Lytechinus pictus: one gene and its partners. The main gene of each other region encodes a partner of the protein of the gene in region 4 in a complex. Links are inferred from orthologs where the notes say so. Each region holds a gene or a part of one and is shown on either strand. Other genes may lie near its edges. The genes, in order: TGF-beta-activated kinase 1 and MAP3K7-binding protein 1-like, KAT8 regulatory NSL complex subunit 3-like, KAT8 regulatory NSL complex subunit 1-like and UDP-N-acetylglucosamine--peptide N-acetylglucosaminyltransferase 110 kDa subunit-like.

Evidence for each region.
Region 1: the proteins of UDP-N-acetylglucosamine--peptide N-acetylglucosaminyltransferase 110 kDa subunit-like (region 4) and TGF-beta-activated kinase 1 and MAP3K7-binding protein 1-like are in contact, whole or in part, in a crystal structure (PDB 4AY6), measured with the Homo sapiens proteins. The link is inferred for Lytechinus pictus from reciprocal best matches to the Homo sapiens genes OGT and TAB1. Residues at the interface, in NP_858058.1 of Homo sapiens: Asp441, His506, His508, His509, Asn567, His568, Pro569, Gly641, Tyr642, Thr643, Lys644, Ala646, Gln849, Phe878, Pro904, Val905, Ala906, Pro907; in NP_006107.1 of Homo sapiens: Pro389, Val390, Val392, Pro393, Tyr394, Ser396, Ala397, Gln398, Ser399.
Region 2: UDP-N-acetylglucosamine--peptide N-acetylglucosaminyltransferase 110 kDa subunit-like (region 4) and KAT8 regulatory NSL complex subunit 3-like share a complex: the UniProt entries of both Homo sapiens proteins name them as parts of the NSL complex. The link is inferred for Lytechinus pictus from reciprocal best matches to the Homo sapiens genes OGT and KANSL3.
Region 3: UDP-N-acetylglucosamine--peptide N-acetylglucosaminyltransferase 110 kDa subunit-like (region 4) and KAT8 regulatory NSL complex subunit 1-like share a complex: the UniProt entries of both Homo sapiens proteins name them as parts of the NSL complex. The link is inferred for Lytechinus pictus from reciprocal best matches to the Homo sapiens genes OGT and KANSL1.

Annotation. Positions count from the first base shown.
Region 1 is NC_087254.1:11,941,636-11,949,107, reverse strand, and holds the start of TGF-beta-activated kinase 1 and MAP3K7-binding protein 1-like, read right to left. Parts: upstream 3,057-7,472; 5' UTR 2,873-3,056; coding exon 2,816-2,872; intron 486-2,815; coding exon 349-485; intron 1-348. UniProt on the Homo sapiens protein: Key adapter protein that plays an essential role in JNK and NF-kappa-B activation and proinflammatory cytokines production in response to stimulation with TLRs and cytokines.
Region 2 is NC_087256.1:18,280,133-18,287,351, forward strand, and holds the start of KAT8 regulatory NSL complex subunit 3-like, read left to right. Parts: upstream 1-4,181; 5' UTR 4,182-4,576; intron 4,577-7,219. UniProt on the Homo sapiens protein: Non-catalytic component of the NSL histone acetyltransferase complex, a multiprotein complex that mediates histone H4 acetylation at 'Lys-5'- and 'Lys-8' (H4K5ac and H4K8ac) at transcription start sites and promotes transcription initiation.
Region 3 is NC_087247.1:49,525,450-49,533,207, reverse strand, and holds the start of KAT8 regulatory NSL complex subunit 1-like, read right to left. Parts: upstream 3,044-7,758; 5' UTR 2,133-3,043; coding exon 469-2,132; intron 48-468; coding exon 1-47. UniProt on the Homo sapiens protein: Non-catalytic component of the NSL histone acetyltransferase complex, a multiprotein complex that mediates histone H4 acetylation at 'Lys-5'- and 'Lys-8' (H4K5ac and H4K8ac) at transcription start sites and promotes transcription initiation.
Region 4 is NC_087249.1:53,721,080-53,728,420, reverse strand, and holds the start of UDP-N-acetylglucosamine--peptide N-acetylglucosaminyltransferase 110 kDa subunit-like, read left to right. Parts: upstream 1-4,263; 5' UTR 4,264-4,328; coding exon 4,329-4,414; intron 4,415-4,587; coding exon 4,588-4,831; intron 4,832-5,277; coding exon 5,278-5,346; intron 5,347-7,341. UniProt on the Homo sapiens protein: Catalyzes the transfer of a single N-acetylglucosamine from UDP-GlcNAc to a serine or threonine residue in cytoplasmic and nuclear proteins resulting in their modification with a beta-linked N-acetylglucosamine (O-GlcNAc).

The DNA of each region.
Region 1 (7,472 bases), on a different chromosome or scaffold from region 4:
AGCATTGTGGAAATGAACATGGTCATTAGACTCAATAAATGATAGACCAAATGGAGACTAGACTAAGTTTGGTGGTGTTAGACAATCTAAGAATCAGACCATCTGCTAATACTAATAGACTGATGGGTTTACAAGATTTGAGGTCATACAATAAATTGAAAGTCATGCATTTCATTGCAAATTTTGAATTAATTGATGGTCTGCTTCGTGCATCAACAAATATAAATTATTTTGCTTTTAATTTAACATCGATCTACTGCTTGTAAAATTGCATCTGAACTTTGCAATTGATTGCACACATTTTCTTGCAACACCCTCTGGATTGGATGCAAATTTATATATATGCACCTGAAATGAAAGAATTTGTCTTCAAATTCATGATCTTCGCTTCTGGCTCCATCTTGTCGGTAGACCTGGTTGTTTGAGTATCCAATCCCTGAGTGACGGCAGACAGGCAAGTCATCGGTCCAGCTCTGTAATGAGCCCTGTGAAACATGACAAGAGATATGAGGGACTGGGTTGAAGTTCATTCTATGGGATGACGACGAGATTAGTCTTAGGAATTGATGGCACAGAGTATATTTCTGGCACTCTCATTTCAGATAATTTCCATTTAAAAGGGAAGTTCACCCTGACAAAATGATTTTTCTAAAATAGCAGAAAAAATCATTAAAATATTGGTGAAGGTTTGAGGAAAATCCAACAAAGAATTAAAAGTTATTATAAGTTTAAATATTTGATATGTGATGTCATATGAGAGCAGCTTTCCTACATATCGTATGGTGAAAAATCAATGAATTGTCATTTTATCAGAAAATGAAAAATTATTCTTATTGTACCTTCAGTATATCAATAGACAAATCATTTCACACCCGCTACTAAAAAGAAAAATAAATAAGTCACCAGAAACCATTAAAAAATATAAATTTCTGTATTTTATATTACATAACATAATGGGGTAGCTGCTCGTTTATGTCACGAATCCAAAACTTAAAATTCTAATAACTTTCTTAATCTTTAATGGATTTTCCTCAAACCTTCACCAATATTTTTTCTCATTTTTCTGCCATTTCTACTACAAACTATTTGTCAGGATGAACTTTCCCTTGAAAGATAAATGCCAGTCATGGTAACAATTTCAATTTGAGTTCTTACAGAATTCAATAAAATGACCACCTATGAAAAGTCTGTTTGCATAAATAAAGATATATGCCAAAGGATTCTGAAAAAACAATGTAATTGTTGAGAATTTTCGTCTAAAGAGGTGCACGATTTATCTTCATATTAAAGACACTACTACAAGTGAGAAACTAGGCACGAAAACTATTTTACGTTTATATCGATGCAAAGCGTTATGCGAAGTGTCCAATCTTTTTATTGTAAAGACTCTTTAGTGCCAAAAGCTTACAAACAGTATTGTAGCCCATTTACATAAGTTTGGGCTCAAAACCCTAAACTTTAGAAAACATGTATTTTGGTGCATGGAGATTACATCATATAGGGAAAATGAGAGGGGATTCCACCCTTTATTACCCAGAAACCTCTGAAATATAGTCTATTCATCTTTCATTTCAGAAAAAAATTGAATAAAAATATGTAAAAATCGTCTATTCCTTCACCAATTCTCTCATTATGTTTTTTGACTTGTCATATTGCGATACGCGAAGGTGAAAAAAGTTTGTTACTTACAGTTACAGTTACACTACAGTACACAACGCTGCTGTGGGCATGGTGGGGCGCTCTTCCCCACTCACACGTATTGCGAGGTTAGTATTAGTATACTAACATCGCACCACGAACCGCGTTTGGCAGTGGATTTCTAACTAGTGGATCGCGCGTGCTGGGATCTCACTTCTTGGGTCCACAACACACGACTTCTAATAGGGTGTCTGGAGAAAAAAAATATTTTTTTTATTTCAAGAAAATATCACATTTTCTTTGTGAATTTGAAGAGAAATGACCTTCAGACTGACAGAAATGTAACATTTTTGAAAAAAATCCAATTATTGGCTGCAAAAAAGAAGAATGAAATTAGGTAAATTTTCAGCATTTCTCTGCCATAGACTGTGTAGTTAAGAAATGGACACACACAAATCCAAATTTTTAGCTTCCGAGAGCTGTTATAAATTTATTATTAATGCCAAAAACTTGTCCATAAAGAGTCCAATAGGATTTTTTATGCTCTATCTGATGGTATGATTTTTATAAAGATTTCGAAACCAGATCACAATGAAAAATTGCGACAAAGTGAAAAAAATTGTGCAAAACAGAAATGTCATTTTCCCATAGAAAACGCATGGAGAAATGGCAATCTCAACACACACAAAAATAAGGGTTTGCAATTTATCTCTAAATCCTTATTTAAAATGATCATATAAACTTGTCCTTACTGTCAAAAGAAGCCCCTGAATTTTCTCTTTCCATACATGCCAAACACAAGTTAATAATCAATTCAGATCACATTTTTCTAGTAGCCTGAACTTCCCCGAAAAAATGTGCCATATTTCCCCCTAAATTAGCCTGTTTTATGCTGACACTTTTCAGTGTGGCTTCAGACACCCTACTTCTAATTTCTATGCCATACTATGGCTTGATTTTTCTGTGCGCTGCGGCGTGTAATGAACCCTTGAGTGGCTCTTCCCAAGCGTTTCATTTCTATGTACTATCCAATCTTCCCCTTGCACCGCTCATTCAATGAACAAGGTTTATGCCTTGCACTTTGATTTAAGTTAATGTCTCACCCCCCCCCCCGCCCCCCCCCCCCTCAAAAAAAAAAACTAAAGACGTTTCAGTTCAGTCCCACATGTATATTTACCTGTGAGTGTTGACTTACAATCGAAGGAGTGGTGCGCCTTGGTGTTCTTGATGTCATATTTTTAGGGCATAATCAAAACGTAAACAAAGTTTGATACACGATCAATGATAGTCATTGATGGTAACGTCACAATTCAGTAAAATATGTCCAGAAAATTCTTTAAATGGCGAAGAATACCAGGTCAGATGACATCGACAGCTTGCTGGAATTTGTTTATGTTAAAGCCCTCTACGTTCGAGTGGCGGCCGCGCTGTAAAAAAGGGGGGAAGTCCCACAGATCTATCTCTGAGGAGCATCGTGAAAGGAATTTTCGGCCCTTAGAAAATTGAATTGAGGATTGAACTGAATCGAACTGAATTGAATTGAATTGAATAACTTTATTGTCCATTAAGGAAATTCTTTTTTCACTGGTTTTAAAACACATGAAGATACAATGTATATACACAGAACAAGAAAAAAGATATGGTGAAAACATGTCAACATGAGGGAGTTATTTTAAATCAGGTATACATGGTTCACGCAAAATTTACAATCCCTTTTACAATACAAAAGTATTTGAATTACATATTCTAAAATAATTTTATATGGTTATAGTTAAGTAGTTGACGGCAAGAGATAGTGATGGGTCGAAAGCTGATGCAAGTAGAGTCAGGGAAGTGCAAGTGTCTGTTTCCAAAAAAGAAACCTCTAATATAAATTTATAGTCAAAATTATCTTTTATGATTGTTAAGCAATTAAAAAGAATAGGGGAAAATCGCATCGTTCTACCCGTATTTAAGAATCACTAAATCAAATTTCATAACACATTCATGTTCTCTATTATCACGCATAAAGATAGATAACATAGGCCTACCCTTCTCATTTCTGCATTATTTTAAAGGGTATGTATGATATTTAGGACTTGCTTTTTAATAGTAAATTTCATTTACTCAAAATTTAGTAGGGTCCATGCTGAAATATGGCAAGTTTATGGAAGAAAACAACCCCAAAGTATTGCAATGTTTGATTACTTGCGACTTAAAAGTGGGGAAGGGATAAACATACAAAAACCACCTGTATTAGTATGCCTTTATCATAGCAAAAAAAAAAAAATTCAATCAAGAAAGAAAAAGAGAAATCCGGGGGGCACTTCCATTGACAAGTGGATACCAGATACGACCAAAGAAACGCGTAAACAGGATCTCATTTGGGCACGTTGCGTAGGCCTACGTAACGAAGTGTCTCAAAAACACTGAAAAATTTATACATATTTTGCTAGGAAAGCTAAACGTGTTTATAGTCAAATTTGTGAGGGTATAAAAAACAAAGAATGTACTTTTTGCTCCAACAATTGTTTAGAGTCCGATTTGAGTGAGGTGTGGGAGGTGGGTGGTACTATAAATCCAATGTAAGTAACTGAAGGTAAAGACGACGTCCGTGATATAACAATCAAATATCGTTAAAAAAATTGTTAAAAAAAGTTTTCGCTACAAAAATGAAGATCATTTGGTTACATTTTCCCACTTATGCACATCTTACAGAATACATGAAGTACCCCCGCTTCCCAAGGCCATATAGGACATTACACTTTTTGTAATTATGAAAAGAATGGGTATCTTTCTAAATGAACTATACGAACACGAAGCGCTTTTAAAAGATGTTTTTAGATAAAGAATGTATAAGGTGTGTATCTGTATAAACACTCAATGCATGTGGGAAGCGCGGACTCATTTTTAATTTTTTTTTTTTTAACAAATACATATTGACCCGAAAGGGAACTTTAAAAAGGGATATTACACTTTCGTGAAAAGTATGGGTATCTTTCTAAATACATTATACGAACACGAAGCGTGAGCTGACTTTATTTTGTGATTTTTCGGAATGTAAAAATCTATCAAAAAATATGTCTTGGTATTAAACAGGCATATACTCTTTAGAATTATTGCCTCATAATTATACGCCATGACTGACCCACACTACTTGTGGGTTTTTTTTCGCTCATCTATATATATATATACTGATTGGCAAATAGCAAATTCTTGATCATTAAGTGAGGTTATATTCCAATTTTACAAGGATGGACAAACTTTGAATATTTGTTATAACTGCACAGGGAAATTTGCTTCCCAGAGAAGAATTCATGCATATCTGTATGATCTCAAATACTATATCTATTCTATGTCCATCTCTCATATTGTGACAAATGTACAGTGACCGAATGAGAGAGAGAGAGAGAAAAAAAAGAGAGAAATAAATGAATATATAGACCCACAGGTAGTCTGAATATAGTAGTGGCGCATAATGATTTTGTGATTTTTTTTTTGGAGGGGGGGGGGGCAGCGCCTCCATGCCCCGGCATCTGTACGCCACTGGTTGATAGTGTTTATATTCATTTCGACTTCAACAAAATTTACATTGTAAAGCAAAATATAGAATAATAATACTTGCTTATGAAGTGCCTACCTCTTTATTTTCAAGGCTCCGTGATTTTCAAGAAATATTTCTACCAGGTACCTATTTACCTCACCTTGGTTGAGTGTAGCATAATTGAAAAAAAAATGAACCCACTGGACAGTTTGTTTATGTGAGTTCCCTGCAATAAATAACTAATTAAATTATAACTTATCTTTGATGAAATTCAAATCGTAATTAACAAGGTTCAACAAAGTAAGAAAAAAAAACAAATGGGGTCAAACTGTTTATGTCTGTACTATGTACACCATGTCATAACTGGCCCGGGTGTATGAAAGTATAAAGACAAACTTTAGTTTAGGAAAGTGCATATAAAGGAAATCAGTTGGATAAGATAGGACGGAAACACTAAAGATTAAATAAGATCAAAGAAAATGTACCAAGCAGGACAAGACAGGAAAAAAAACCACTTCAAAACAAGAGCCCCCCCCAAAAAAAAAAATGAATACTAAAATAAACAAGAAAACTGGGGCCCGTTTCTCAACACATGGACAAGTTAGTCATATCTTTATCCACCAACCACGGAGTTAGTTCCAATCTTACTAAACCTGTTTCTCGAAAGGCTTCCTAACTAGAATACCTTGATATCGATATACTATCGGTAAAAAGAGCAGACGAGACGTAGCCTTAGTCACAACAGAGCATAATTTTCCAAAATAATAATTATGACAAAGTTGCAAATATTATGATGAATTGGGAAATAAATCTTTTCAAAATAATAGCACAGGTGAATTATGCATCATACATACTTAGACCATGAAGACTGGAGCATTCAATTGCAGAGAAAATTAAATTATGAATACTTCATTTCATGACTAAAAAATCACTTGTGGACGTTGAGATGGGTACCCCCGGGATACCCAATTTTAATAGTTTACGAAAGTAAACCATAACGGTTTTCTCTGTAAAATGATGATAATTATACGGACTTTTACGATTCCAAACGTCATCAAAATATAGTTTAACGAAATATTTTTAATCATTGATACCGAAAGATACGATATTGGACAAATTATATGCATAAATTAGAGATAGAATTTATCCAACTGTTTATAGGGGTCTGAAAACAGCAAATACGAGTTCAGTTATGGATGGCCTGACGTGGTAGAATCTTTATCGATTAAATCATTTTACTATTTCAAAATGAATGGTTCTGTGGCGTTTACCAACAGTTTTTATAGTTTCTTTGTATTACAATTATCATTGAATGCATTAACACACTTGTTTTGTGATGTAATTTCAACCTCTATGATTGATTACGTAAGATTATAATTTTAAAATATCTAGGCACTTTCGCATGTCATAGTCTACCCACGTGATGCCATACGTCATTAAGAAAGAAGTTATGACAGGTTCGGAGGTGTCATAAATATTTAGTGAGGTTGTTGTACCCGATCTTGGTAAAGAGGGCTTCGTGAAACGGTTAGCGGACAAGTAGCTCACTATCTCCGATTTAGTCAAGAAGTTAGACTTATGACGGTGTTGAGAAACGGGCCCCTGCACTTGAGGTGACAGAAAGAAAGAAGATATCAGTGGCGGATCTAGCTTTTTGCTATAAGAGGGGGTTTGACAAGTTGGTTTGATCCAATAACGATGAGCTGCGACCAGGGGCGGCGATCCAGGGGGTGGGGGCACATTTTTAGAAGCACTGAAAAAGTGCCCTTTTATGCAAGAAAAATGCCCCCCCCCCCTCACGAACGTGTTCTGTGTCCGTTTCGCCTGAGAAGGACCCGTTTTATGTGTTAGCAAGTGCCATATCTCGTATCAATGCCAAATTCCCCCCCCCCAAAAAAAAAAAAATCCCTTCACGAACGTGTTCTGTGTCCGCCCCTTTCACCTTAGAAGGACTCGTTTTATGTCTGAGCAAGTGCTCCCTTGCTTTCTTGTAAGTGCCCTTTCTCGAATCAGTGCCCCTTTTTACCCAAGAAAAGTGCTCCTCACGAACACATCATGTGCCCCTTTCACCTGAGAAGGACCCGTTTTATGCCGTTAGCAAGAGTTAATGCCCCTTTGCCTTCTTATAGGTGCCCTTTCTCATATCAGTGCCCCCTTTTTACCTATAAGAAAAGTGCCCCACGAAAGTGTTCTGTGCCCCTTTCACCTGAGAATTAGGACTGTACTGTGCCCCTTTCCCTTCTCATAGATATATGTTCTTCATGAGAAAATATTAAGGTTTCATGAGTCATCTGAGTGGGGGTAGATAAGT
Region 2 (7,219 bases), on a different chromosome or scaffold from region 4:
ATCATGCGTTTTAGCGCTCACATTGTGATTGTTTATATCCTCTCTCACATCGTACATCATAGTTTTAGGGCCTTTGGCGGCCATTTTAAATATCAAAATACATGATTTATCACATAAATGGCATGTTGAATAATAAATTTCGTTAACAATAATGTTTTTAGTCAGTATTCCGCTCGTTTATCTTAACAAAATGCATTTTAGTGCTCACTCTCGTGATTTTTTTGTCACCATTCACATTGTACATAATAGTGTTAGGGCTTTTGGAGGCCATTTTGAATATCAAAATACAGGATTTATCACATACATGACATAACAAATGTTATATATCGTTAGCAATCCTATTTTCAGACATTTCTTCACTCATAGATCATTATTACTTGCATTCCAGTGCTCACTTTTGTGAAAAATAATTTTCCCCATTCATATTGTACAGGGGTCTATGGCGGCCATTTTGAATATGAAGAAAATAAATATTTTGTCCAAAATCATTTTTTCAGATATTATTTCACTCCGGCAGCACAATTGCATGTACTTTATAGCCAATGTGTGGACAATTTTATGATTTTCAGGGCACACGAGAGTAATTCATCTGCGCGCAAAGCATGCCGGACAGGCGTAAGTAAAGATCACATGACTTTATTGATTAAAATAATTCATTAAAAATAGATCAAATGTTTGTCTATCAAAAGAAAAACAATAGAGATAATGCTATGTTCATACTCTTTCATAATTAAGGCGTTTGGGGAGGCTAGACTGCATTTTTGTATTTCATTTTAATTATTATTACCCACAATGCAGTTCTGGTTTTTCTGGCAATGAACTGGCCGAAATTATATTAGTCTTATTTCAGGCCATTTAACTTTTGATTGAGCTGGGCAAGTACCTGATTAACATATCAAGTCTTAATGTACTGTTAATTGTGACTAATGTCAGTGAATTAAAGCAAAATCTATCGAGGGATTGATTTTTAATGATTTTTTGATGAGCTATGATATAACACGTGAGTGAATGGGGGTCTGTAATACTCATGTGTGCCCTATATCGCGACTACACTTCTACACAGTCGTTGCTATGGCTGGGCGTCGTCTGCTAGAAATCGGTGGTGAGAAAGCTTCAAGAAGTTTTATGCAAAGTGATAGGTTATGTTTAACAACAGTTGATAAGTATGTAACTCGGCATTTAGTGCATTTATCGCTTACGATGCTGAAATGACGCTTTCAAATGTATATTCAATGCTTTTTATCATTTATTATGCAGAAATGCGAGTTTCTACTGCCAATAGGAGATCTGGTTGGTTTGAGAGTGTGAAATGAAATAAGTAGGAATTTCAAAATGATAAATAACTTCTAATTATCATCAGGATTCCTATTTTCAATATTTAGAGCGCGCAGAGAAAGAAAGATGAACAAAACATTAAAATACATAAACTTGTCTCAGTCAGATGTTATACATCATAGATTGCGCAATTGAATACTATTCACTTCGTTGAAAGCTACAGGCGGGGGGTTGGGGGTGGAACTGAGTCGGGGTACATACCCCCATCCTCCTGGCTTGTAAGCAGGGCGGGGTTGATCCCTATAGCACCCCCCCCCCCATTCTTCCTCCAAATTAACGGTTATAATGAGGAAGAGAGGCGAAATGAGCAAAAGAAATGCTTACATTCTTTGTTTGTTATCAATTTTCTTTTATTTACTTTGTTTATTTTTATGCGAATACAAAGGTAATAAATCGCCTCGAACAAAATTAAACATGTAAACAAGAAGTTGTAAATCCACACAATACATATTTAGCCCATTGATGGACATCGAGCAAGTAGAACTTGTAGCTGTAATACCATAGGAAGCTCACAAAATATATGAATGGAACACTGCATTTTTACATTAAAATGAGGGGTGTCTAATGAGACGTTTTCTTTTTTTTAATACGTTTAGTCAGATTAGGTATTGAATGCAAGGTATCAATCTCTTCAGGAGAACCCACTCTTTCTTTTGAGACCAAAATTTTCAACTTTTTGTCATTTGACCCTCAGTATAGGGCACACGAGAGTAATTCATCTGCGCGCAAAGCATGCCGGACAGGCGTAAGTAAAGATCACATGACTTTATTGATTAAAATAATTCATTAAAAATAGATCAAATGTTTGTCTATCAAAAGAAAAACAATAGAGATAATGCTATGTTCATACTCTTTCATAATTAAGGCGTTTGGGGAGGCTAGACTGCATTTTTGTATTTCATTTTAATTATTATTACCCACAATGCAGTTCTGGTTTTTCTGGCAATGAACTGGCCGAAATTATATTAGTCTTATTTCAGGCCATTTAACTTTTGATTGAGCTGGGCAAGTACCTGATTAACATATCAAGTCTTAATGTACTGTTAATTGTGACTAATGTCAGTGAATTAAAGCAAAATCTATCGAGGGATTGATTTTTAATGATTTTTTGATGAGCTATGATATAACACGTGAGTGAATGGGGGTCTGTAATACTCATGTGTGCCCTATATCGCGACTACACTTCTACACAGTCGTTGCTATGGCTGGGCGTCGTCTGCTAGAAATCGGTGGTGAGAAAGCTTCAAGAAGTTTTATGCAAAGTGATAGGTTATGTTTAACAACAGTTGATAAGTATGTAACTCGGCATTTAGTGCATTTATCGCTTACGATGCTGAAATGACGCTTTCAAATGTATATTCAATGCTTTTTATCATTTATTATGCAGAAATGCGAGTTTCTACTGCCAATAGGAGATCTGGTTGGTTTGAGAGTGTGAAATGAAATAAGTAGGAATTTCAAAATGATAAATAACTTCTAATTATCATCAGGATTCCTATTTTCAATATTTAGAGCGCGCAGAGAAAGAAAGATGAACAAAACATTAAAATACATAAACTTGTCTCAGTCAGATGTTATACATCATAGATTGCGCAATTGAATACTATTCACTTCGTTGAAAGCTACAGGCGGGGGGTTGGGGGTGGAACTGAGTCGGGGTACATACCCCCATCCTCCTGGCTTGTAAGCAGGGCGGGGTTGATCCCTATAGCACCCCCCCCCCATTCTTCCTCCAAATTAACGGTTATAATGAGGAAGAGAGGCGAAATGAGCAAAAGAAATGCTTACATTCTTTGTTTGTTATCAATTTTCTTTTATTTACTTTGTTTATTTTTATGCGAATACAAAGGTAATAAATCGCCTCGAACAAAATTAAACATGTAAACAAGAAGTTGTAAATCCACACAATACATATTTAGCCCATTGATGGACATCGAGCAAGTAGAACTTGTAGCTGTAATACCATAGGAAGCTCACAAAATATATGAATGGAACACTGCATTTTTACATTAAAATGAGGGGTGTCTAATGAGACGTTTTCTTTTTTTAATACGTTTAGTCAGATTAGGTATTGAATGCAAGGTATCAATCTCTTCAGGAGAACCCACTCTTTCTTTTGAGACCAAAATTTTCAACTTTTTGTCATTTGACCCTCAGTATAGGGCACACGAGAGTAATTCATCTGCGCGCAAAGCATGCCGGACAGGCGTAAGTAAAGATCACATGACTTTATTGATTAAAATAATTCATTAAAAATAGATCAAATGTTTGTCTATCAAAAGAAAAACAATAGAGATAATGCTATGTTCATACTCTTTCATAATTAAGGCGTTTGCTTTGGGGAGGCTAGACTGCATTTTTGTATTTCATTTTAATTATTATTACCCACAATGCAGTTCTGGTTTTTCTGGCAATGAACTGGCCGAAAATATATTAGTCTTATTTCAGGCCATTTAACTTTTGATTGAGCTGGGCAAGTACCTGATTAACATATCAAGTCTTAATGTACTGTTAATTGTGACTAATGTCAGTGAATTAAAGCAAAATCTATCGAGGGATTGATTTTTAATGATTTTTTGATGAGCTATGATATAACACGTGAGTGAATGGGGGTCTGTAATACTCATGTGTGCCCTTCATGGGTAACTAATACTAATATGAATATTTTGGCGGCCATATTGGATTTTGCCAATTTGCAGAAAACGCTCAAGGTTACACGAGTGGCATCATTCAGATTCGGAATCAGCACCCTCGAATTGACAAGAAACCATTAAAAAACATTGTATATCTTAAAAAACAAGGTTCGACCCCTTCTATCCTGGACTATACCGTGGTCATGGTGTTAGCGCATCCACGATCCTGTGGCTGTGCGAAGCCGCCTCTCCACTCCAGTGCCAGCTCCGGCGGCGACGGGAGTCTTTACCCCGACGTCCGACCGTGTTTGGAAAACCCGATATGCTTACACTGAATGGCGGTCCACATAAAAAGATGACTTCTTCTAAACTAACTTCTTCCATAAAGGATCTACAGCTGCATGCAATTCGTGATCATTCGAATCTGTAGCCTAGGCTAGGATAGTCGAGTTCATTCGACCAGGCTCAGTCACGTCAAGGAACAATTTCATCAATTTAAACTCGTACGTAGTACACTGTACTGTTAATTTTACAATTATACAGCGCGCGCTTGAATGACGTCATCTTGCCGGTGCTTCGTTTCTTGTCCGTTTTTGTCATAAATTTAGGTAAGATTTGCCCCATTCATTAACGTTTTAACGATTTTGAAACAGACATGAGTGAAATTTAGTTGATTTTATTCGAGTTAGAGGTGATTTTTGTGTAAGGCTGTATTATTAACCAAAGTGCAGTGCAGTTTTGTCTTGTCACCGTCTGCACTGTGTCACGTTTGTTGTTGAGTCAGTCCCATTCACTCTTGTTCATGTTGGATCCTGTGGATGGAGGGGGGGGGGGGGGTCGGGTGTCCGGACGCTTTGAACTTTTGAAACCTAATTTTTGTCTTTGGATTGCACAAAAAATATGAAGTTGATTGATGTAACTTTTTTTCAGTTTTGTTTGCTGAGACTTTGAGGAAACTTTGCTTGTTTTTTTTTTTTTTGGGGGGGGGGTAAACATTTCTGTTTTTCAATTCAATTTTCAAATCATCAAATGGCAGTCGCGCGTCAAGACGCCAACATTCATGACATTGGCAACTGAACAGGCGCAGGCAAGATTATCCTGTAAATAAATAGGGTCTGTCTAGTGTCTAAACTTACGTCATGTAAAAGTTTGAGGTCCATGAAGGCATGATAATCCATTTAGACCTACGGCTACAGAGCAGAGACCATCTTGTCTCTCGATTAGATCTCACACTTCACAGTGGCAAATTGTCCATAGTCATAGACTGTGTACAACGGATAGACCGTCTCGGCTCAGCGAATCGGAGTCCCGCTGATTGGCCAATCGCGCAGATCACGTCATGACTATGTGGTCGCCAAAATAATTCCTTCGGACTGCATGCGAAAGTATCGATATCGATAACGATATCCGGTCACATTGTCTACGCGGGAAATGGTCTTGGTTCGTGATCAGATCGCTCCAGTATCGATCGAAAATTATCGAGACTGCAATTTCATGCATATTCACGCGACGCTCCGAAACCTGGAATCAATTGACTTTGTACACGTTGCGATAGACTCTACCAAGGAGTTACCTGCACTCCTTGACTCTACAAACTCCAACGAACACGATGCCATATCGACGCTAATTCGTACGATTTTAACCGAAAAGCAAGAAGTAATCGAAATTCGCTTACCTGTGCGGTATCGGTGAGAAAATAGATCCTCCGAGAATACCTTTCATAATTATAGGAATGTGAAATTCTAGGTCGATTTTGGTACGAGGTGATAGAGAATTGCACACTTGTTTTGCCTTTTGGTGGAATACTGTGTGGGGCTATGGAAGGCTTGCACTGCGCATGCTTACTGTATTTTCATTCATAAATTGGCTTTCGGCAGTGGCTGGATGACGTCATGTAATAAGCAAAATATACACGCCCGCTAGCGTTGAACGCACCGCTATCCGTTCTATACAATTTGCCACTGTGGATCTATCCCCGAAAAAAGTCACCATCTTGAAAATATCAATTATCATTCTCAAATTTCAAGAGATCTGAGCTGACTTCCGTAAATTCTGTTGCAGTTTCTATTTTCTCTCTCACATCAGATTCAGACATCATTCACTAAAATTAATTGTCGCCACAATTTTTTGTCTCACCTGCATAGCAGAGTGAGACTATAGGCGCCGCTTTTCCGACGGCGGCAGCGGCGGCGGCGGTGGCGTCAACACCAAATCTTAACCTGAGGTTAAGTTTTTGAAATGACAGCATAACTTAGAAAGTATATGGACCTAGTTCATGAAACTTGGCCATAAGGTTAATCAAGTATTACTGAACATCCTGCCTGAGTTTCATGTCACATGACCAAGGTCAAAGGTCATTTAGGGTCAATGAACTTAGACCATGTTGGGGGAATCAACATCAAAATCTTAACCTAAGGTTAAGTTTTTGAAATGTCATCATAACTTAGAAAATATATGGACCTAGTTCATGAAACTTATACATAAGGTTAATCAAGTATCAATGAACATCCTGCTTGAGTTTCAGGTCACATGACCAAGGTCAAAGGTCATTTAGGGTCAATGAACTTTGACCAAGTTGGGGGTATTTGTTGAATTACCATCACAACTTTGAAAATTTATGGATCTAGTTTATGAAACTTGGACATTAGGTTAATCAAGTACCACTGAATATCCTGTGCGAGTTTCAGGTCACATGACCATGGTCAATGGTCATTTAAGGTAAATGAACTTTGGCCGTGTTGGGGGTATTTGTTAAATTACCATCCTAACTCTGAAAGTTTATGGATCTAGTTCATAAAACTTGGACATAAGAGTAATCAAGTATCACTGAACATCCTGTACGAGTTTCAGGTCACATGACCATGGTCAAAGGTCATTAAAGGTCAATGAACTTTGGCCGTGTTGGGGGTATTTGTTGAATTACCATCCTAACTCTGAAAGTTTATGGATCTAGTTCATAAAACTTGGGATATAAGAGTAATCAAGCATCACTGAACATCCCCTGTGAGTTTCAGGTCACAAAACCAAGTCAAAGGTCAGTTAAGGTCAATAAACTTAGGCCATGTTGGGGTAATTGTTGAAGTGCCATCATAACTTTGAAAGTTTATGGATAGAGTGTATGAAATGTGGACATGGGTGTAGTTGACAGTCTTAAGTCTCCGTTCGAATGTCATTTATGGTCAATGAACGTGGTATTATGTCATTATATGAATGATGTTTTTGTAAATGATTATTTTATAGTAGTTTTCAAA
Region 3 (7,758 bases), on a different chromosome or scaffold from region 4:
CAATAGCTGACCTATCTATAGCCCATTTCCATGATGCTCTTCTGTGACTGTGAATAAGAAAGGAAAGGGGGGGGGGAGAAAGCAACATCAATGAATTTGAAATTATTCAACGCTATAAAACTAAAATCTTTCCAACATTTGTTCTTTTGGACAAGATAAAAACACAGGCAAATGAGGCAGCTATGCCTATTTGAATCTATTGGGAGTTTTGGGACCATAAAAATTTGTTCCAACTAGGGGGAATTTGAATAACAGTTGATAATAATCTGGTTTACCAATGCTGCGAATATTTTACTTAAAGTGTACCTGTAGATGTCCATAAAATTGTTTCCAAATTCAATGGGAGTTCTCATCTTTTCATTCATGTGACCATACTCACAATACGTGTACGCCTACAATATCGCATGCCCTATAATTCCAAGAGCCAAAATTTTACAATCTCCTTAGCTCTTTGAAATATGTACTCACAGAGGCATCTTGTGAAATGAACGGGATGCCTGGGTTTGTGGTAAGCTGTCATCTCCTTCATCACAACTTTCTCCACCTGAGCTGCTATCGGTGACGTCTGAATCTATGGTGCTTTCAACATGACCAAGGCCTGCTCGAAGCCTTCCAGTGACAGATTTTACTTCACGATATGCTTGTTTCCCTTCTCGCAAGTGCTGAGAAATATGTGTACTTGGCTTAGTTCTTTTTCCTGCTGGTAACCATGATGGTCTTATCGAATGTCTTTGCCGGTCTGAAGAAGAGTTTGTATGTAGAGGACAAGTATGGCTATGACTTGAACTACTTCTAGGAAGAACGCCAGGTCTACTACCCGTCTGAAGACGATTCCTCCGGCACTCTTCACAAGTAACGTTGCTACTTCCAGCAGAATTTGCAGCTTCTTTGCAGGATTGTTTTGATTCTACAAAGGAACCTATTTGTTGATATATCCGAGATCCAACGTGACATGTCTGTAATCTCCGTAACTTTTCCATCAAATACTTTGCACGATGTTCTTGTTTCGACTGTTTATGAATCAAAATGATAGCTTCTTTCTTTCCCTCAGACATCTGGTCATTATCATTCACAACCTTGAATACAGATTTTTCAACCTGCTTCACTTCTGCTTTCATAAATCTAGGTTTCCTGTCACCTCCTACTTCTAGCTTATCAACAACATTAACGGACTTGAATTTCTCCTTTTCAACAATGTTGCTTGCTCCACTACATTTTTCTGCAGTAGTGGCAGAAAGATCCACACTACTTTCATCTGAGTCGCTCTCATTGTCTGACTTCGGATCAAGACAGTCATCAACGGCTTGTTCAAGACTTGTATCTGTTGTCAGTGCATTAGAGTGTGACAGACTTAATGAACTATCCATGTCATTCGATAGAGAACTGCTTGACGTATCGCTAGTATCGAGCTCCACATGCTCATCGATATCACCATTATCTCGTATATTGATATTTTCAATGTGAGTAGCGACAGAGTGTTTTGGACCCGTTGGACTGGGACTTCCAGTAGTTGATATTGTTAGAGGCGGCATTTTGGATGTTGGTGGAGTAGAAGGGTGATTATCGTTCAACAGGTCTAGGTCTACCTCTTTCTGTGCCAAGGGTGCGGCAGAGTCGTTCATCGTTTTCAATATGCTTTTCTTTGAATGTTTTTCACCATTCGCGAGTAGATCTAGGTTTAGATCCAGGCCTGAGCCGATGGTGGAAATTAATGAATTTAACTTGTTTTTTATCGGGCCGTTACAGTGGTTTGATTGCAATTCCTGATAATTTTTTCCCTCTGAAATTGTCAGTGTTTCTCCACCCTTGTGATTATTATTCTCAAGAAAGTGGGTGTGAATGGTGAAACAAGTTGGCGATACAGTGGGCTCGTGGTTTCTCAACAGAGTGGTGGGACTCGAACCTGGAGAATAATGCTTGCCTACACCACCGGGTACTGCCGGAGAATGACCATTTGCCAATGAGGGCAAGTCTGGGCTTGTTGGCTGATTTGGATTTGCTTGCAGGCCACCACTGCTTCCCGGGTTAGCAGGCGAAGCTGGCAACTTGAAGGAGCCTGTATGAGCCGCGGCATCAGTCAGTGCCGGAGCCATTGCAGCCATACATAGCCTCAGCGGGAACTGTGACCACATGCGACGGGAAGCGAAGCGCTATGCGGACAGGGTACCGTGGGAACGGCACCACTGTACGGCGTCACACTTGCCATTGATTGGAGAACATGACTAATTAAAGCTTTCGAAGACGACCCGTCCAACGAGATAAAAAATTGTTTTGTATTTTAAATACTAGGATAACAATTAACATATGTTTACAATAGCACAAATGTTGCAATACCAAAACACAAATAATGCTATAGTATAGAGATATGTGTTTGTTCAACCCGCTCTCTTCATAAACATCGGTCCATCCAAAAAAAGCCGCAGGTGAGGCAGGCGATAATGGAAACAATAACAGAGGCCAGGCACAGGCCGAACGATTACCACACGTGACAGACACCAGATCAACGTACGTATAGCTATTTCCCGCGCTTAGGCCGGGAAGGTGGTCTCCATCAATATTTACGAGTATCGTTTTCCGTCTTCAGTGACCGACAAGAGGATCAGTTTTAGACGTCAAATTGAAAACAACGTTGCACTGACGAATGTTTGAACGGAACGTTTCGCAAACTGAGAATCATAACATGGACGGTAATGAGAAGCAACACCACGTGACCCCTGGACAGGTTCCACGCACGTTCGTGAAACAAGCGATCGGACTATGCATGCGGGTTACACCCATTATTTTCCGAATTGATCAACATATTTCCTTGCTCTTGTCAAAATTTAACATCCTAACGTATACTCCTCATGGGTAATCAATGAATCCAACAATCACACACATCACATTATTCATCATTGACTTCCATGGCCAACCTACGACGTCGAAAAAAGTATCGCATAATATGGCGACGTGCTCAGGCATTGATCTCCATTCTCACAACAAAAAAATGCAGGCGACTTCATTAACATCTGCCTCTACGTCAATTGGTCTACCCCCTATAGGCGGAATTGCGTGATTGGCTGTTTAGAGCTATTCGGTTGGTCGGAAAAATACCCTGTAAAAATCTTATAGTAAATAATTATTAATTATTTTTCCTCGCTCTTGCATAGTATTTCACCCCTAAATTGACTCCATCAATTCGTTTTTTTATGTAACAATACATCTTCATGCATGAAAAGGTGCAAATTAATGAAATTTTATCTTAAAAAATATTTCGCATAAAGACGTAAATACGGGGAGGGAAAATGCGAGATTAAAGAGCCATCAAGTTCGCGCTCTATCGATATGAAGTCAAACTTTCGCAAAATAGCACGGAACAAAATCAGTTTTATTACGAAAAGTAAGCATTATTATGTGATATAAAGCATTATATCAATTCAAGGATAGAAAATCTATGCTTAAAATTGATTCGAACGAAGTATAGGGATTTAGTCCTAACTAATAGAAGATACGGTGGAAAGACTTAAGTGCTAAAAAGGGAGGAATCATTTCATGTTTCGATCGCATTATCCGGGATCATAATTTAATATAGTCCCGAAACTTTGAATTTTTATATCAGAATTCGATGTTTCCCCACTCGATCTTGTACTCTTATTTCTGGCAGTATAATTGGGAACAAGGGAATTTTCGAATATAGCATTTTTATGATTTTATTATCTAAGGAATAAATTTATGTTATGCCAATGCGTAGTACCATAATAGCTCTATGATACCACCCTGTATTTTTTTTTTTTTGGTCTTTTTGTTAGTGGGTGTCTTTTTTTTCCGTACAGTTGACATCATTACAACAACGGGAAATTAGCGGAAAACTGCGCGCATGGGGAATGCAAACTCTGTCTCACGAGTCACGACATTGCTCTGCAGCTGAGCCCTGAGGTGCCGAACCGTGGATCTGACTCCACACATTTTTCTGAAATGTGGTCGGTATCATGCATTATATTTTTTGTAGCCCTAGCATATATGTTTTGTATACCCTCATTGACAATGAAGTGATTTCCCCCCTTTTTTATGTTGTTGCTATAGACAAACTTTAATTCTGAACAATCTTTCCCATGCAGGTTCGTCTTTCACCGTGAACACGCAATTAAGCCATAGGGTCCTACTCAGAAAGTTTCTTTTTTAGTAGAGGTCTATATATGTACTAGTAGGCCTAATGTTTTTTTTTTCCAACTGTTTTTTCGCTTTCTTGTTTTGTCTTCGGGAAGTTTAGTCCAATTATGCAGATCGTACATCTTCCCTTCCCCTAGGTGCTGTTTGCACTGATACCAAATACAAAAGTGGTATAGGCCTAAGTGTAAATCTTGATTTGATTTGATTTAGAACAGTAAAACCTACATTTTTTCAAGTTATTCTCTTATATTCTGTACAGTGTAGTTTAGGCCTAAGTTTAGTTTTATCTCTTTACTTGGGAAAAAGAGATAAGTTACACAATGAATGGGTAATCCCGACAAAACATGATTTGAACAGATGAATAAGAATTAAACAAAATGACCGTGCAAATTTCATCGCAATCGGACAAGGTATATGACAAAGTTATTGTTTTAAAGATCATGTGCACTATGCATGTCTTCATGCCAACTGATGACGTCATATTCCGGTTATGTTTATTAAAATTTTGTCATCCAAAATCGGGGGAACTTAAAAAAAGAATTGACAACTGATTTAGTGCACTGTTGCTGTTACTTATTTTACTACTAGGAGACATGGTCATACACACTGGTATGAAAATATGAAATAATGATGATTTCATGTATTAATATCAGTCCCATCAGTTCATTTGCCCACCTTATGAATATTCATGACGATCGATGTGCATATAAATAACCGAACGGATATCTTCGTTATTTTCTATCAGATTTTGATAGATTTTCAGCATTTTTCTAAATTGAAGTTTGTCGAGATAGTATACAGCCTACTAAGTCATGTTCATTAATTGCAATGGGTGTCGATTGCATTGGCGTAAATCCGTGACCAGTGTTGTAGTCAAGGCTCAAACCGGGCCAAGGCCAAGACTTTAATACCCAAGGCCAAGGCTTCAATACCCAAGGCCAAGGCATGGAAACCCAAGGCCAAGGCATTTCAAACTTTCGATAATATGGAACAATGAGCTAACAATTAATGCTTAGGCGGCAGACATGTCACACAGGGAAAATGTATAAAAGGTGTGAACGAGTGAACTGAGCGAGCAAAACTTTGACCCTTGTAAATGTACATGTAAAACAAAAATAATTTCATGATAGATTTAGACATAGGCCCTAATAATAAATGATAATATAGTTATATACCTTTGTATATTTAATACATTATATTTCTATAGGCGATTTACATCAAAATAATTATTATTACCATGGCATCCTGACATGCCCATTCTCAACGTATGTCTTTCTCCACTCCCTGGGACAGGGGCTGCAGAACGTATTTTTGTTGGGGGGTCAAAGCCAAAAGGGGTACTTAATTGTCAAAATGGGCCTTTTGGTGCAAACAGATATTTTCAAAATGAGATTATCAACTGCATGAAGTAGTTGTGTGATTTGTAGAAATTAAGTCGAGTAAAGCCTTTTTAAAGTGATTTCTAATTGATAAGATAGATATTTTGATTTAGGCTTTTACTTTTCCACGAGAAAGAGCAGCGAGCAAGCGGTTTTGAAAAAAAAATCAATTCTGAAGTTGTGCAACTCGATTGTTTTGGTCAATAATGGCACTATTCCGTGTTAAAAGGGCACCCTTGCGAGATGTTGCCAGTGCGAACCACGAGCTCAAACTTTTGGACATTATTTTCGTGTAATAAGACATGAAAATTAAATATTCTGAGCTGTTTTTGTAATCATGAAAAAGATGTGTATCTAACTAAAGAATTAACGCAAGCGCGAAGCGCGAGCTGAAATTTTTAATATACTGAGCAGAAAAGGAAGCTGTTAACATGGTTAAGGACATGTATTCATTTTAGTGACTCCTAAATAGGATAATAACTCTACAATCAAATAATGCGAGTGCATTATTTGTGATACTCCAACCTGAAAACTGGACATTCTAAACATTTTTTTTGTAAACGGGAACAGACTGAGTACCTTACTTTACAATAACTGATGCGAGTGCAGAACGCGAGCCAAAAATTTGTGATATTCCAATCTGAAAACTAGACATTCTAAACATTTTTTGTAACCATGAACAGGATAAGTACCGTACTTATTATTGATGCAAACACAATGCAAAATTTGGTGATTTTCAAACCTAAAATGTATTATGTTTTCATGTAGAAAAGGTATTTCTTTTTGAAAAATGGCACATTTCATTTGGAAAATAAGGCATTTTCGATTTTTGAAAAGGGGCATTTTTTTCCTACAGAGAATTTTCCGGGGGGGGGGGCAAGATAGCACAAAGCGCAAGTTGAAATTTTCAAATGCTGACCTGAAAATGAGTCATTTTTAGGACTCTTGTCAGTTTTCACGGTTTTTATGCTTACAACCACTTTTAACTTTCAATTCTCATTTCTTGTATCTTCTACACTTATTTTACCTCAAAAACCGGAATAAAGAATACAAACAAAATGAAGTTATATTCAAAAGGATATGAAATAAACGGAGCGCACCCCATACCCTTAGTTGGGGGAGCGTAAATCTTAATTATTTCTTTAAAAAAAATAGAGTTCCATATTACTAGTAAACCATATTGACTTAAAAACAAATAACCACCACATTTTACACACTTCTGATCGTCTCCAACAGGCCGTTCCCGATACTCCCCTTCTAGCATACAGACGCCCACCGAATCTCAGGGACCTCATTGTTCGTGCTGAAGTGCCCTGCCTCACTAACCATTCTTCTACCATACAGCATGGCACCTTCAAATGCACCAGCAACAGGTGCATCATATGTGAAATACACCTTCACGAGGGCGATACTTTCACCAGCAACTCTACCAGCCTGTCTCACAAAATCAAGGGCAACATCACATGCACTACCACTAATGTTGTATATCTCATCACTTGCAGATCGAGTTTGTAGGGTACAATACATAGGGGAAACCAAGACCACAATCAAGAAACGATTCTACGGGCACAGATCCACCGTCAACACAGCAAAGCTGGACACTCCAGTTGGCCGCCATTTTAACCTCCCCAACCACTCCATCACTGACATGATGCTACAGGGCATCGAATCTTTAGGTACCCGTCCTGACTCAGTCCGTACTAGCAGGGAGAAGCTCTGGATGAGACGACTTCGCACCACCCAACCTCATGGCCTGAACATCCAAGAGGGGAACGACTGATTTTTCTTTCCTATCCACTATCAATTTATATATACATATAATTTTTCCCCTCAGCTCTTTTGAATAGTTACATTATAGTTTCTTACTCTACTTTCCTCCCATATCTCATACAAGCTCAGCTCCAATTTTTCCTTCCTTATTCAGGCGATATAATAATTATTATATATATATATATATATATTTGTTTTTTTCTCCACTCGCCTCTTTTAGATTTACCACATTTGCTTATTTAAATGTATACTATGGTTTCTTCATAATACACCCCCTCTCTTCTATATTTGCTTTTACCTTTTTAGGCAATTTGCTTCCTCTTTTTCACATATACAGGTTTTTTTTGTTTTTTTTTCCTACTATATAGTCTTAAGTTTTTTTCCCGTCACACCTAGCGGATTACAATATCAGTTACACCATATGTGTATTTATATATTTTTTCATACACATTTCTTTTTT
Region 4 (7,341 bases):
AGATCAAAACATACCGTATCATCGTCTTCTTGTTATTTTCTTCTTCCTCCATCTTTGTCGAAGATTCAAAACAAATTATCACCAATTATCATCATCTTTTTGTTCTTCCCCGATTATGTCGGAGATCAAAACAAATCATCTTCTCCTCCACCTCCGTTTCCGCTGATATCGGAGATAAAAAAAAAATCATAATTTTCTTCTCCTTTATCTTCTTTTCCTTCCACCGCTTTTGTCCGAGATCAAAACAAATCACCAGCGCATTTTAAAGGCAAACATGTCGCCACGTTTTTTTTTTTTTTTGTCTTGTTATGTTTTAGTTTTTCCGATCCGATTTTTTCCCCACTTGTCCAAAATCGGAGTTCGGAAAAATGTAGAAAAAAGGGGAAAATCGGATCGGATCGGGAATTGGAATAAAAATCGGTTACAACATTGAAATTAAATATCTTACTCTACACCGGCACACCCGTACGGTATGTCACTCCATGTCCATCTTCCGGTTATCCTCAAAATTGGTGATTTTGGGCCAGTATCAAATTCTTCATTCGTATTATTCACGGCCGATTTCAAAACATTGTATGCGTGTATGGAATGGACCTTCCTAATATAATAGCAACACTGATGTGTGTTGCTGCCCTCTACGTTCGTTGCATACAATGTTTTGAAATAATACGTGTGAGGAATTTGATACTGGCCCAAAATCACCAATTTTGAGAATAATCGGAGGATGGACACGGAGTGAAATACGGGTGTAGAGTAAGATATTAAGCTATTTATCTTTCTCGTTATATTTTTTTCTGTAATCTTTGTCTCGCCTGCATAGCAGAGCGAGACTATAGGCGCCGCTTTTACGACGGCGGCGGCGTCAACATCAAATCTTAACCTAAGGTTTAGTTTTTGAAATGACATCATAACTTAGAAAGTATATGGACCTAGTTCATGAAACTTGTACATAAGGTTAATCAAGTATTACTGAACATCCTGCCTGAGTTTCAGGTCACATGACCAAGGTCAAAGGTCATTTAGGGTCAATGAACTTGGACCATGTTGGGAAAATTATTTTCAAAATCTTAACCGAAGGTTAAGTTTTTGAAATGACATCATAACTTAGGAAGTATATGGACCTAGTTCATGAAACTTGGGCATAAGGTTAATCAAGTATTAGTGAACATCCTGCCTGAGTTTCAGGTCACATGACCAAGGTCAAAGGTCATTTAAGGTCAATGAACTTTGGCCAAGTTGGGGGTATTTGTTGAATTACCATCATAACTTTGAAAATTTATGGATCTAGTCCATGAAACTTGGACATAAGGTTAATCAAGGAGTAGTGAACATCCTGCCTGAGTTTCAGGTCACATGACCAAGGTCAAAGGTCATTTAGGGTCAATGAACTTTGGCCAAGTTGGGGGTATTTGTTGAATTACCATCATAACTTTGAAAATTTATGGATCTAGTTCATGAAACTTGGACATTAGGTTAATCAAGTACCACTGAATATCCTGTGCGAGTTTCAGGTCACATGACCATGGTCAATGGTCATTTAAGGTCAATGAACTTTGGCCGTGTTGGGGGTATTTGTTAAATTACCATCCTTACTCTGAATGTTTATGGATCTAGTTCATAAAACTTGGACATAAGAGTAATCAAGTATCACTGAACATCCCCTGTGAGTTTCAGGTCACAAAACCAAGTCAAAGGTCAGTTAAGGTCAATAAACTTAGGCCATGTTGGGGTAATTGTTGAAGTGCCATCATAACTTTGAAAGTTTATGGATAGAGTGAATGAAATGTTGACATTGGTGTAGTTGACAGTCTTAAGTCTCCGTTCAAATGTCATTTATGGTCAATGAATGTGGTATTATGTCATATGAATTATGTTTTTGTGAATGATTATTTTATAGTAGTTTTCAAAGTTAGCACTGCTGCTAAATTAAATTGCGTAATGCAGGCGAGACTGCCAGAGGCGTTCCACTTGTTACAATAAACCATCATTTTATCCCACCTTTGTCACTCGGTACATGTATATCCGAAATGGTTCACAGTCCGGAAGTTCGGGTAGGTGGAGCGTAGTGTAGCAGTAGTGAAGTGGTGTGGAGCCTGCACGAACTTTGCCCGAGGTAGCGGCCGTCATGACGTGAGCATCCTCGATTAATCCTAAATTTTGCTTTATGATGGGTATAAGAGAAGACATAATAAAGATAAATTTATATTAAAGACATTCAGCTTACCACCTTTCCAAAAAATATGCCAGAATATAGTGAATCTTCATGACAAACAGATTAGGATCGGCCAGGTTCTTCTTCGATCGTTGTCGGCACAGTACAACTGAGCGTACGAACGTGCCAGCCAATCTGCTGGTGCGTCCGTTCGTCAGCTGTCGCTGATGGCGATCAAAGAAAAACCTGGCTAATACCGATCTGTTTGTCATCAAAATTCGCTATTTTCCAGCATATTTTTCTGAAAGGGGTAAGCTGATTGTATTTAAATTAATCTTTATTTGGGTCTATTTCTTCCATTTTCCCTGTCAAAAAGCGAAATTAAGGAGTAATAGAGGAGGGTGCAAAAAGCGCACCCTTTCTCCATATATGCTGTAGTTAAAGCTAAATGAAAGTAGTTGCATTTAAACACTGAATTCGTGAGAAAGTCTGTAAAACCACTTGAGGTCAAGTATTACTATATCATCTTGGATCTAGATCTGGTACATGTACAGTACTTTGTGAAATCATAAAATCTAAGCTGAAAATCGATCACACTGATGATCGCCAACACACGGGGAACAGTGTATATTATTATTGCTGGAATAAAGACCCGACGGAAGTGCCAGAATCTGCGCTTATTTTGCTTTTCTCAGCAATTACATAATTTCTTCCAGAATCATTTGGCACATGTATTTTTTATTCATACAGACACTTGGTGGTCATTATATTGGATTCTTTAAAAAGTCATTTTGAGATCATTACCACAACTGGCATTTACATGTATCTTTAAGCGGCGGTTGTTTACGAGCCCAATGGCATCATTCGTCATGTGTAGGAGGAGGCCAAAAATTCAGAAAATGTTAAAAAGCTCCTCCGAAACAGCGGAGTTCCATTTTTTTCCCGGAAGTCAATGTTACGAAAATGTTACGAATGAAAATTGCGACACTACTTTCCCTACAGGTAAAAGATCTAGCCCTAAATCATGTAAGTGGGCTAGAACTTCATTTCCGGTATCTATAGAATATCGATTTCATTTTTAAAGTAATATTCATTAAAAGACGAAATATATTTTGAGAAGACGGGTAAAAAAAATTTGAAGATGTTTATTTGGCATTATAAAGGGCAGCAGACTCTATGTGTGCCTTGAATATTTACATAGATCTTTAGTACTTTAATTGGTCCCAGTTTGTCTACGTCCTATATACATGTACAAATTGTTGTGTGACAACTTTAATTTCATTTAATTTATTTCACATAAAAAACCATACATAATATAACAGAAAATCACAAAATTACAAAAGAAAGAAGAAACTGTTCCATGTACATATAAGAGATAAACATAAACAAAACTGAAATACAATTGTAAATGATGTGACCGGGGCTAGAAAAAGCATAGCTTATCGAGTCTAGCCCCGGCAGAAAAGGAGAAGGAAGGAGATGCCCACCCCGGGAGCACGTATGGTCAGAGGCAGAAGAGGGTTGGGACAGAAGTGGGTCAGGGATTCCCGATCGGACACAAGCCATGACTAAGGACGCGGTGACCGGCCACACAGCTGGCCGCCCCGCCGACACGGCAAGAGAGTCCATCTTATGAACACCTGCACCAACACCCATGCATCCATATAAATCACTCTCACACACTACAAAATCCTCACATGCATCTACACCAGACAGACATACACCCCCCCCCCTCAATTCCCCTACAAACAACCAACCAGCCACTAATAACGTAGCATTACCTCCATGCTCACACAGAACTCTCAAATACATTTTTAAGACAAAAGACTCGCTCAGTAACATAGGGAGAGAAAGAAAGAAATTCACGAATGTGAGGTTTTTCTTAAAAGATTAAAATACTGAAGATATCATACAAAAATCAGTATTCTGTGCAATCATCCCATAGGTGGCCATTTTGCCAATCCAGTTGATCAACAAAACCCTTGCACAACTACAACAAAGGACATTGTGTAGCAAGTTCACAATTTCAGAGTTGAAGAAAATATTGACAATGAAATGCTAGGAAAATTTCTCTTATGATCCTACATTTTTTTTACTTGCAATCGATACAGGTCTTGCTGAGCTTGCTCACAGAGAATACCAAGCTGGAGATTATGAAAATGCAGAGAAACATTGTATGCAGTTATGGAGACAAGAGCCAGAAAACACTGGAGTTTTACTTCTACTAAGCTCAATACACTTCCAGTGTAGGAGATTAGACAGGCAAGTATATTGTAAATGGTTTTTTAGAATAGAGGAAGGTGATCAAGCTGATTAATTATATGCCTGCACAGTATGTTAAGATGAGCAAAGTCTTGGCTGTTTTTCAAGTTGAAACATGAGAAGGAGGTCAGTGATTAATCCTCTTACTTTTTCCCCTTTGTCTTTTTGTATAGGTCAGCACACTTCAGTACTCTAGCAATAAAACAAAATCCGATGTTAGCGGAAGCGTACTCAAATCTGGGGAATGTCTTTAAAGAGAAGGGTCAACTTCAAGAAGCTCTTGAAAACTACAGACATGCTGTGAGACTAAAACCGGACTTCATTGATGGTTACATTAACCTTGCTGCAGCTCTAGTTGCAGCAGCAGATATGGAAGGAGCCGTCCAGGCATATGTCACAGCTCTGCAGTATAACCCGGTAAAGAAATGTCTTCATCTATTTGCATGCCTTGTTAAGTATTTATCTTGTTCAGATGATCTTCCACCATTGGTTGCATTGTACTATATTTGGCAGGTTTCGCGTGATGGATGTACAGTGTGTCCTTTCATTGATTTTGAATAGCATTTTGAATAGCAAATTTGAAAAGCATTTTTGGTTTTAAGAGTAAATCTCTTAACTAAGTACAGTCATATTTAAAAATATGCTATATAAAAGACTTTATGCATAGCAGTCTTTCACAAATGTGGAGCAAATTGCATGGCCATATGGTCTGAGCACTTTATAGTCTCATCAAATTTATACTGTAAAAATAATGTTTTATAGCAATTCAACGTTTTGGTGGACTGTTGAAGATTGTGAAATATTTTTGTAATATGGGTGGTATAATTTTTATTCTATTTTTCTAATTTCTACTTGTTTCACAGGACCTGTACTGTGTTCGTAGTGATCTAGGGAACCTCCTGAAAGCACTTGGTAGATTGGACGAAGCGAAGGTAAGGTATCCACACAGGTATGCAATGCCTGTTGTAAGGTTTGTTTGCCAAACAAGATTTGACCTTGCCTTATAATGCAACCACAGAATGCTGTAAAATAAAAAAATAACAAGAATTCAATTAAATTTTTTTTCTCTTTAAACAAAATTTCTCAGAATGCTTGCAGTAGTATTTTGCTTTCACCTTAAGAATATTCTCACAGAGTAGATTAATTCCTTAATCTTGAAGAGGGCATTTTTATTCATTAATATGTAGATGTAACAAGTAAGACTATTTCTTAACCGATTCGCTTGTGAAAAACATGTTCATTCATCCATTCACAATTGCATGTCATCTCATGGGGTATGGCAGGTCAGATGATTATTTTGATGTTAAGTTTCCGTAGACTAAAGACAGGATGTGAAAGTGGCTGGAGATTGAAGACTCGGTTCCTTCTCTTTTGGATCCCCACAAAGCATTGGTAGCCAGTTGACAGGTTGACAGTGGCTCATGTCATGCTGCTGTAAGTTGCCGCTGCTGCAAAGCGCTGCCATGAAGCCCATCATCGTGTCATCGTGGGGGAGCCGTTTCCAGTGTGGTTTGTGCAAATCTTCATCTTGGCTTCTGCGCTGCAACTGCTGCTAGTGTTACTGCTTAGTGCAATGCTGGCTTGCATCTGCCTGCTTGCTTGCCGGCTGCTTGCTTGCTGGCCGCATGCGTGCTGGCTGCAGCGCTGTGTGGGCGCTAAGGCGCAGCGTGGATCAGCTTGAATTGGAAGCAGAGCTACAGTCATCTCAACCAAGCTGGTCCATCTTTGCAAAATTTTATTTCCTTAGTGCCTGAGTATTTTTATGAAACATGAAATTTTAATTCTTATTCAATATTGATTGACGTGAGAAATGAAAGAATTTTGAAATGATGGTAAACATCCATTAAAATGATATATGGATTAACTTCCTTGAAGGGAGGAATCATTTGTGCAAACATTTTAAAGAACATCTTAATGGTGAATTAGCTGTAAAAGTTGGGTTGTATACATAACCAACATAAGACTCACTGCCCTAATGAGATGGAATTGCGTAGATATTAGATAACAGCTGCTGCTGCTATGCAATCAACAGATTTCAACAGATGGACATCATTCAGCTTGCTTGCCAATATGAGCAAACAGAATTTGATAAAAGAATATACCAGGCATCAATCAATTAGTGTTCTACAAACATTTTAGGGAGTGGGCTGGACTGAATTGAAGAAAACTTAACGTACAGATGTTATGTGTGTAATCATGCCCTTGTATTCTATTATTACATTCAGTTTGCTCATATGCACTGTAGTGCAGTAATTTTCTGCTAGTGCGAGCTATTGTGTCAATGTCAACGTGTTAAATTTGTTAACAATGCTACCAAAACATTTCCCCATAAGACAAGCCATGAAATGGCTCTGAAAATTGATCCTTGCATTATTGATGCAGTTTAATTTTAATGCATTCATCATTGTGTTGAGAATTGGCTCTTTCCTTTTATCTTCTAGTTTAATCAATGCTTGTATGTCATTTTTCTTCATATTTGCGCAGATACTAATTCAAGATTTTTTTCTTTTTCTTCTCTCATTCTTTTTATATATTCATTCATGCACTTCTGAAGGTTAGATTTTCAGCAGAAAGGGTCATCTGTGTGCCATAGGTTGATTCAAGTTGTTCTTTTTGCCCTCCTGGATGCCACTTCAAGGAACCCAAGTGTAGCTGTGGATGTCATTAACGCCTGGAATACTGGTTCATGACTTGGTAGTTACTTCACAGTTAGCCAAGCAGTAAGACATGTGATGTGGCTGGAGGAAATATGTTATTAATCTGAAAAACAAATGAGAAAATATGTAAAATAAAAATATTAAAACATTAAGAAAAAAATATATAACTGGAGGTTGAAACATCATAAGCCAGTATTTAAAGACGTCTGGAGGTAAAAAATAGTTTTTTGTACTAAACATTTCTGTCACACACAAGCTCACTTGCAAGCA